Linked DNA regions of Cricetulus griseus. The protein of the gene in region 2 interacts with the protein of the main gene of each other region in a biochemical or structural test. Links are inferred from orthologs where the notes say so. Each region holds a gene or a part of one and is shown on either strand. Other genes may lie near its edges. The genes, in order: Gab1 and Plcg1.

The links.
Region 1: the proteins of Plcg1 (region 2) and Gab1 form a complex in vitro, tested with the Homo sapiens proteins (2 studies listed by BioGRID and IntAct, with this or other methods). The link is inferred for Cricetulus griseus from reciprocal best matches to the Homo sapiens genes PLCG1 and GAB1.

Annotation. Positions count from the first base shown.
Region 1 is NC_048596.1:156,648,543-156,653,088, forward strand, and holds the start of Gab1 (GRB2-associated-binding protein 1), read right to left. Parts: upstream 2,913-4,546; 5' UTR 2,043-2,912; coding exon 1,971-2,042; intron 1-1,970. UniProt on the Homo sapiens protein: Adapter protein that plays a role in intracellular signaling cascades triggered by activated receptor-type kinases. Plays a role in FGFR1 signaling. Probably involved in signaling by the epidermal growth factor receptor (EGFR) and the insulin receptor (INSR).
Region 2 is NC_048599.1:18,756,066-18,759,869, forward strand, and holds part of Plcg1 (1-phosphatidylinositol 4,5-bisphosphate phosphodiesterase gamma-1), read right to left. Parts: intron 3,509-3,804; coding exon 3,340-3,508; intron 3,255-3,339; coding exon 3,132-3,254; intron 3,049-3,131; coding exon 2,947-3,048; intron 2,865-2,946; coding exon 2,677-2,864; intron 2,369-2,676; coding exon 2,168-2,368; intron 2,096-2,167; coding exon 1,976-2,095; intron 1,899-1,975; coding exon 1,718-1,898; intron 1,027-1,717; coding exon 949-1,026; intron 290-948; coding exon 186-289; intron 1-185. UniProt on the Homo sapiens protein: Mediates the production of the second messenger molecules diacylglycerol (DAG) and inositol 1,4,5-trisphosphate (IP3). Plays an important role in the regulation of intracellular signaling cascades.

The DNA.
Region 1 (4,546 bases), on a different chromosome or scaffold from region 2:
CTGACCCCACCAAGCCCCACATCTAGCAAACTGCTGTAGTACATGGCCATATCACCCTGAATGAACCCACTCCAATGGGAGAAAATTGCTGTTGTCAACAAATGACACATGTAAATATACATAATCATACACATATATATTCTCCCACACACTTCTGCTTATTGTTATCTATGTATTTATTATTAATATTTGTATTAGTAACAAACTTTATTTTGTTTTTGTGGTTTTGTTTTTGAGATACAGCCCTTGTTAGCCTAGAATTGCTATGTAGACCAGGCTAGCCTTAATCCTTCCATTTCTGTCTCCCAAGTACTGGGTGTTAGGAGCATATACCACCATGCCCAGTTTTTATTTTATTTTGGCCTTTGTTAAGACCATTCTTCCTACAAGGCTTTCCCCTTCTGTACTACCTTCCCTTGTGGCTGGTGCCTAGGACCGAGTTCAGCACCACTAGTGAGCCACAAACTAATGGGAAAGAGTGTGCTGAGTTTCTATTGCCATTATCAGCCATATATACTGTACTGTAGTTTCCCTGAGAATCCTAACGCCATCTTCCCTAAGCAGTGCGTCTCAAGCCTAGTATCTCCATCTCCCCACCCCTCCTCCTTCACACAATAGTCTCTTTACAACTAATTCTGAAGACACCACTACCACTCTCTAAAATTTTTGGAATCAAATTGCCATCTTTACCAAGAAATCCAGGAAAACGTGACAGGCATCTTTGGGGATCCTCCGACAATTTAACGAAGCACATCTTTCAATAAAACTGCTTGTCTGTAATATATTCTAGCAGAAAGTAAACCAGAAACTCGATGGTGAGCTCTGTGAAATAAATATTGCCCGTTTCATGCAAGCAAGCAGTGAGTAATCGGATTGACTAACTTGAGGTGGGTACTTGGTGTAGATTCCCTTCAACCAGAAACAGTTTCCATCAAAACCGGTTAAGGGGGTACGCTGTACGTTTTGCTTTAGGAAAACACGTTTACTCAAAAAATAATTGCTTCAGCTGCCAGGACAAAGTGTCATTTCTTCGCTGGCAGGGGACATCGTAAAATTAGTCGATCTGGAGTAAGATTTAAGATCCCAGACTCCTGAGTAGGACACAGACTTCCACTGCAGTAGTGTAGATTCCTTCAAGATACAGTTTTCTTGACAGAGAACACAGTTTAACACACAATCAGCATCTTGAGTCAATTACACAAATACCATTTAAGCCGTTCTGGTGCCCTGGAAAAGAATCACAACACCCAGAAATCCCTGCTGCCTTCAGCTGTCCCCTCTTGCGGGGCTTGACAGCGCGTCCGGGGAGCCCAAACATTAGCCACCATGCTCCCCCCAGCGCCCTCCGGTCGCATCAAACCGCCGGCGTTCTCGGGCCACACTCCAGTGTCCCTCAAAGCAAAACCGCGAAAATGTGAACCCTGCTAAGCAGACGGTAGGGCGCGTAAGAACTCCCCCCAACCCCCGCCCCAACACTTTCCCTTGTGTGAGTAGTTTTGAGAAGTTTGCCTATACGATCCACTTCTCGCGTCCACGATTCGCTTCCCTCAACCTCCTAGAGGCGCAGAGGGGGCGCGGACCCAAGGGAGAACTGATGATCACTACTAGCCCTCGGTGCCGGGAGATGTAAATAGCTCCATGTGAATCAGATGCAGATAATAAAAGAAGGCTCTTTCTTTCCGTTTTCACCCCACCCTTGCTCAGTGGAATTAACAACAACGAAAAGTATGCAGCCGGCTTGAGCCTGGGCCCCTCTAAGGGGCGGCGAGGCCTGCAGGGGAGGCGGTCTGCAACATGGAGGGAGAAAGTTTGGCCGCCAAGTGGACGCCAGGGTGCGAGTGGACCGCACCCGGTCCGAAGCCAGCTGGCCGAGAGAGGGATCGAGGAAGCGGAGGGCGGGATTCGTGGAAGAGCTCGGCGGCGAGCAGGCTGCTGCTGCCGTGGCCGGCGGTGCCCTGACCTGTACTTACATAACGCTTCAACTTCTTCTCCGGGGGGGACTTGCGGAGCCATCCCGAGCAGACCACTTCGCCGCCGCTCATGGTGCACGCCGTGAGGGCTCGAGGGCCAGACACCGGAGAGGTCGGTGGAGACAGTGGGCGCGCTCCCGGCACACACGAACCCGAGGAATTCGCCGATTCCCTCGACGGGGCGGCCGGGCTCCGCGCGCCCTGTGTTGGCGATCGAGTCTCTTCCGCAGACCCGCGGATCGAAGCAGAACCCGAGCGGGAGCCGCGGGGACCAGAGCTCACCCGCCTTCTTTCAGTGCACCCTCCCGGCCGCCAGGCGCGCCGTCCCGCCGCCTCGGCAGCGGTCGGGCTCAGCTGGGACTCAGCCGGGACACGGAGTCGGGAGCTCGGCGCCTGGCGCTCCGCCCCTTGGGGGGGACAGGACCTCCCGCGAGCGCTCCCTGCTGCGGACCCCACGCTGCACGCGCGCACACAATGCCCGCGCGCGGAGTCCGCTCCGCTCCGCCCGCTGGCGCTTTCAGCGAGCGGGGCGCGATCTTCTCCTTCCCTCTGCTCCGAGGAGGGCCCCCGGGAAGGCGTGTGGCTTCCCGGTGGCAGCGGACGCAGGGGCAAGTCCCGCTCCCGATCCGCTTAGGGAGTGCGAGCACCGGCGGCGAGGCGCGGGGCGTCGCCTGGCGTCGGGGAGGTCGCGGGTCCGCGGCGGGAGGGTGGGTCTGCGCTCCAGCCTCCGACGAGGGCGGGGATCAGCGCAGGGACGAGGCACAGGGCGGCTCTGCTCCGGGAAGGGACCCCTCGGTCCCGTCCCCTGCGCTCCTCCCCCACCCGGGGGCGCGCGGCGGGTTCGGGGAGGCGCGGCCCGGGGTGGGCCCTCCTTCTCCTGCCTTTCCGCCTCCCCTTCCCACGATCGGTCGCCTCCAGCTTCTGCCCAGACTTTCTCTGAAACTCCTCCGGAGCGCTTCCAGCCAAAACAAGGGCCGGGGAGGCGGGGCCGGTGCTGGGAGGGAGCGAGATGGCAGAGGCACCCTGGGATCTGTAGTCAGCGGCGCGCTGGGGTCCTCGCCGCCCTGCCGCCCCGGGCCCGCGCGCTGGGCAAGGCGGCGGTCTCCGGGAACGCAGCGCCACCTTGGCACGAGCGCGGGAGCGCCGGGCATGCTCGCCAGCTCCATCTGAGTTTGCCATCTTGACACTACCTGGTGTCAGCTAGGAGTTTGGAATGGGCTGTACCCTCGCGATCCGGAGTTTCGAGGGCTTTTCTCGACCTGACAGCCTGAAAAAATAACCCAGCCAAGGTACCGGTCGCGCGAGGCTAAAGGGCTTCCTCCCCAGGACCAGGAGCGCGCCCTGCTGTGCACCGGGAGACGGAGAGGGACTTCCAGGACGCCTAGGGCCTGACCCAGGAGCCGTTCTGCCCATTGCGATTCCTTAGCCTCAACAAAGCGTTCAGCAGCATGTAGTTCTGAGACACAATAAAGTCTCACACTACCTTCATTCGTGGGTTGTTTCTTTCAGTTGGCTTTGTATTTGCTTAAAACCTGCCCTAGGACGTTGGACAGGAAACAGAATCGTACTGGATGCCATAGTTCTATTTGCCTTCTGTGTGTTTTACTTATTATACCTGGGACGAGTTTGACACAGTCCTGTGGTAGAGCTCTTATTTATGCGTGTTATTTGGAACAAAGCCTTGGAACAAATTTTAAAAGGTAATATAGATAATCAGATATAAGTGCTGCAGAGCATGGTGTGGTGGCGCATGCCTTTAATCTCAGCACTCGGGAGGCAGAGGCAGGCGGATCTCTCTGAGTTCCAGGCCAGCCTAGTCTACAAAGTGAGTTCTAGGATAACCAGGACTACAAAGAGAGATCCAGTCTCAAAAAACAGAGGACTGTGTGAAAATATGAATTGATAAACCAGCATTTCTGAAAAGTATATAATACTTGGGACTCTCCTAATAAACAGTTCTAGCCCGGAGGTGGTGGTGCATGCCTTTAATCCCAGGAAGCAGGAGGCTGAGGCAGATGAATCTCAGTGAGTTGGAAGCCAGCCTGATCCACAGAGTGAGTTCCAGGACAGGCTCCAAAGCAATACAGAGAAGCCCTGTCTCGAAAAACCAAAACAAACAAACAAAAAAAACAGGAGTTCTGAGTTTGCAATGTTGTAGTTTGGAGAGAGGGAAAAGTGCCGAGAGCCTGGCATGGTGGCACACCTGCAGTCTCCGACCTGAAGGGGGGGGGGGTCGGAGAAAGATGGAACAGAGGGAGGAACTGAGGCAGGAGGAGGCAGAAGTGCTGCGTTAGTAATGAGACAGAAGTCCCTGAATATATAAAAAGGGACAGCACCCTCCATTCTTGCCACAAAGTGCTTTCAGATGGAAAAGAAAAGTGGAATCTATCTTGTATGACTTAACGTTGAGAATTTCAATTACAGCTTTTTCTTTCAAATAAGTATCAGTTATTCCATTCTTATATACAAAATTTTTAACTGTTTGGCAACTTACATCTGTAATCCCAGTTCTCGGGAGACAGTCAAAATAATGTACCAAATTACCTCTTTAACAAAATATCTATACACATAAAAAA
Region 2 (3,804 bases):
AATGACCCCAAACTCCCACAGGATCTTTTTGGGGGTTCCCACATAGAAGTCAGACACTACTACTGAACATGAGACAGATTCTATCGAAGCATACTGTCACAGTATTCTCAGTGCTAGCTCCACGAAGTTCCTGGACTCCCATCCCACCACACCACAGACTCTCCAGCCTGGAGGGCCTGGCTCACCAGCCACCATCTTGCTTTTCCACATTCTGTATGATGGCACTCTTGGTAAAGGTCAGCTCATCCTCTCTCTGGGCCTTGTAGTCAAACAGGGCTTTTACTACACACTGCAGAGGTGAGAAGATGGGATTGTGTGGAGTAGAGCAGAGGGGCGGGCTCTCCCCATCACTTCACCCAGTGCCTGGGCTTATACCAGTGGGAGGGATCGCTGTTAGCAAGTATTGCTAGACACAGTTCTGCATGCTGTCCTATGGAAGTTTTAGGACAACCAAGTTAGGAAGACAGAGGGCTTTCTCCAGGGAACCTCCTGGCCACTGACATGGAACCTTTGGAGCCCTGCCTTGGGTCTGTTCCTAGGAGTAAGACTGGTGGCTCCATAAGAGTAAATGCGCTCCTGTACCTCCCTACAGCGTGAGGACCCTCACTTCTCTCTAATGGCACTCTGGCTACTGAAGAGAGGGAAGAGGGATAGGGCAGTCTGCCATATTAAAGAAAGGGGCAAACCAAAAGAGCCTATCTAATGGATCTCCATGATGAAGGGAATGGCTGCCCAGTGTGCCATCTAGTCCATTCTACTGTCTGTGAAAGACATGGAGGTCACTCTCAGGGAACAGAGCCACATGTCTCCTACAGCCTCCTCAGTCTCAGGAAACCACAGCCATTACTTCTCCATACCACAGGGGGCCCAGAATATAGAAATACAAACCCCATGCAGAAGGGGACCTCTCCTTCCTCCTGGCTTCCTGAGTCAAGGACAGATACTTACCTTGAAAGTCGGCATAGGGTTTGCCTCCACATAGAAGCCAGGATTGCGGCCCTCATAGAGTGCCCCATAATCGGGTTCCTAGAAACAGGACACGTTGTATCCATTAATGCCCAGCACTGAGATAAAAGCAGCTGCTAGCTCCCACTTGCCTGGTCTCTGAAGCATAGCTGGCCCTCTTCTATAGGCTGTCTGCCCCATTCACTGACACTTGGCCTACTGGAATCCCCCAACCCCGAGAGAGTGAGGGTGACTGTAGGGACTCAGCCTCACCCTCATTTTGCACTCTTACTCAAGGTCTATCACCTTGGCCCCTGAAAACTCAAATGCCACCTGCTCCGGAGTTGCCTGCTGCTGAGCTGCCACCAGCATCGCAGACTTGGAGTTGTTCAATGGCTGAGCCCAAGGTCAGGAAGAGGTCCAGCAAACCCTCTTCCTTGGAAAACCTAGGTCTTCTTTCCAGAGCCTGAGGCATCCATACAATTGTACCTAGCCTGCCCTCTGCCCAACACACCCAGATCAAGCCCATGTGCGCACACCTCTCTTGTAAGCTGCCAGACCTTGCTACCCACCCCTTGGTTCAAGGGGATCTTGCCTGAACGCCCAGGCACGGCTCAGGTCTCACTCACTCTAGCTATATACACCATGGCTCCCAGGGCCTTCTGTGAACTTCAAAACACCCCAGGATTCTCTCTCAGCACAGGCAGAGACCTCAGTTACTGTGTCCTCTAAGTACACTGCTATGGCCTCCCCCACCCCTGTGGCCTCTCACAGCTGTCCCAATCTTCTCTAGTGCTTCCTCGTTGATGGGGTAGCGCAGCTTCATTTTGCGGTAGAGGGGATGCTTCTCATAGTAACTGATGAGGTCAACCAGGCTGTCAAACTCAGAGTTCCCCAGCATCACAGTCTGGCCTTCCTGCTGTACTCGGCAGTGCTTGATCTTTCCCTCAGCCCTTCACAACGAAAGGACAGTCAGCATGGCAGATGACCCAGACCCAGCAAGAACCCACACCCATCCAGCAGAGCTCACCGGAAAGAGATGGCATATGAGTTGGGCTCATTGCGTTTCCGTACCAGGAAGGCCCCATCACGGGGCACGCGCATCAGCATATGTTCAGCTTGAGCTCTGGTCAGGCTTGCGTGGTACCACCTGAAAACCAGCAGAGTCAGGCCCTGACTAGAACTTCCCATACCACACTCATCTCCCTGTCCCTTTCCTCACTCTTTGCTCTCATGGGCATTTGTCTGTGGGACAGGCTCCGAAAGGCGCATCTCAAACTCGTTGCAGCGCAGCGGTACTTGCTGATAGTGTGTGATGAGGTCATAGAGGGAGTCGAAGACAAGGTTATCTGTCAAGAAGAACTTAGGAGTCCCAGCATCCTGCCGGGAGTGGATACGGCAGTGCTGAACTTTCCCATTCCGCCTGAGGAAAGACAGGATGAGACAGGCATGAAAAACAGGTCAGAGCTCCAAAGAATACGTAACTAGGCAAGGTATAAAGCTTCAAAAAGGGAGACCATTCTCCAAAGAAGCTTGGATAGTGAGCAGCCCTATAGGAGGTCATACAGATCAAACACAAACACGCATGTTTAAGTACACACATGCCTGTGTAGGAAAGAATTATGTTCCATGGAAAACCTAGAGCCAAGGCTGAACTGTTAAGCAGTTATCCCCAAGAACTATGTCTAGTACAAGTAGACTAAACACAGGTACTGTGCAGATGTGGGTTACCAGAAAGACAGCGTGTAGTCACCCACGAAGGTCTCACTTTCTCGAACCAAGAAGGAGCCGTCAGGAGCCCCAGTCTCAATGCAGTACTCAGTGAGCAGGCGCTCGGCAATGTGCCGCCCATCGCGCCCAGCCCCGAGCTTCCCATGGAACCACTTCTCACTGGAGTGCAGCTCTGTGCTGCTACTGGCCTAGACAGGAGGACAATAGCAAAGACACCCAGTGACTACCCAGTTCTCATCCTGCTCAACCCACACCCCTGAACAGTTCTACCTCCTTAGGCTCCTCTTCATCCTCATTGCCCTGGTCACTGTTGGTCTCCTCAGAGTAGTAGATCTTGCTGCTAGTCAGAACAAAGTAGTGGGGATACCATTCCTGGAACAGACCACAGGAGACCTGTGAGCCAGAGTCCAACACACGGCCCAACCCCACCATGTCCAGGCTCAGCTAGACCTCACATGATTCACGGGGTCCTCCAAGTAGAGGATACCATTCTTGATGGAGTTACTGATGTCATTCTCAGAGTACATCACAGAAGTGGGCACCTCCTCATAGGCACTGCCCTCAGCCAGTTTCTTGTGCTGTGGAAGCAGACCAGGTCACAGCAATCATTCCACACCTAGTCCCATCCTTAACTCAGGGATCCTCCTACCAACTGCACCACACCTTAATAAGGATCTTCCTCTTGAGCTGGTTGGGCGAAGGAAGTCCATCAGCAGCAATGTCCACAGGCTTGGTAAGGAGTGTGTCACCAAGCACCTTTTTGAAGTACTGAGCCATGTTTCTCTGCTGAGCAATGCTGCAGTGGTCCTCGATGGACAGGATGACTGGGTATCTGGAGGGCAAGGAGTAAGTACAGTGAGCCTCAGTCCAAATAGTTTCTTACAGGGCAAAATGATGGGAGGCAAGAACCTGGGGTACTTTATTCACAGGACCGTTCAGAAGAGAGGCAGCCACATGCAAGGGCACGTCAGGAAGCAGCCAGGAGGCAGTGGGAACCAAGAAGCAGCAAGTGGTACAGAAGGCAGCCCCTGAGTGGGTCTAATTAGGAGGCTGCCCTATGAAAAGACATCCCACATCAAATAGGTCAGGAAAGATGAGAAGCAGCCTCCAAATGTGGCTTAAGGGTCC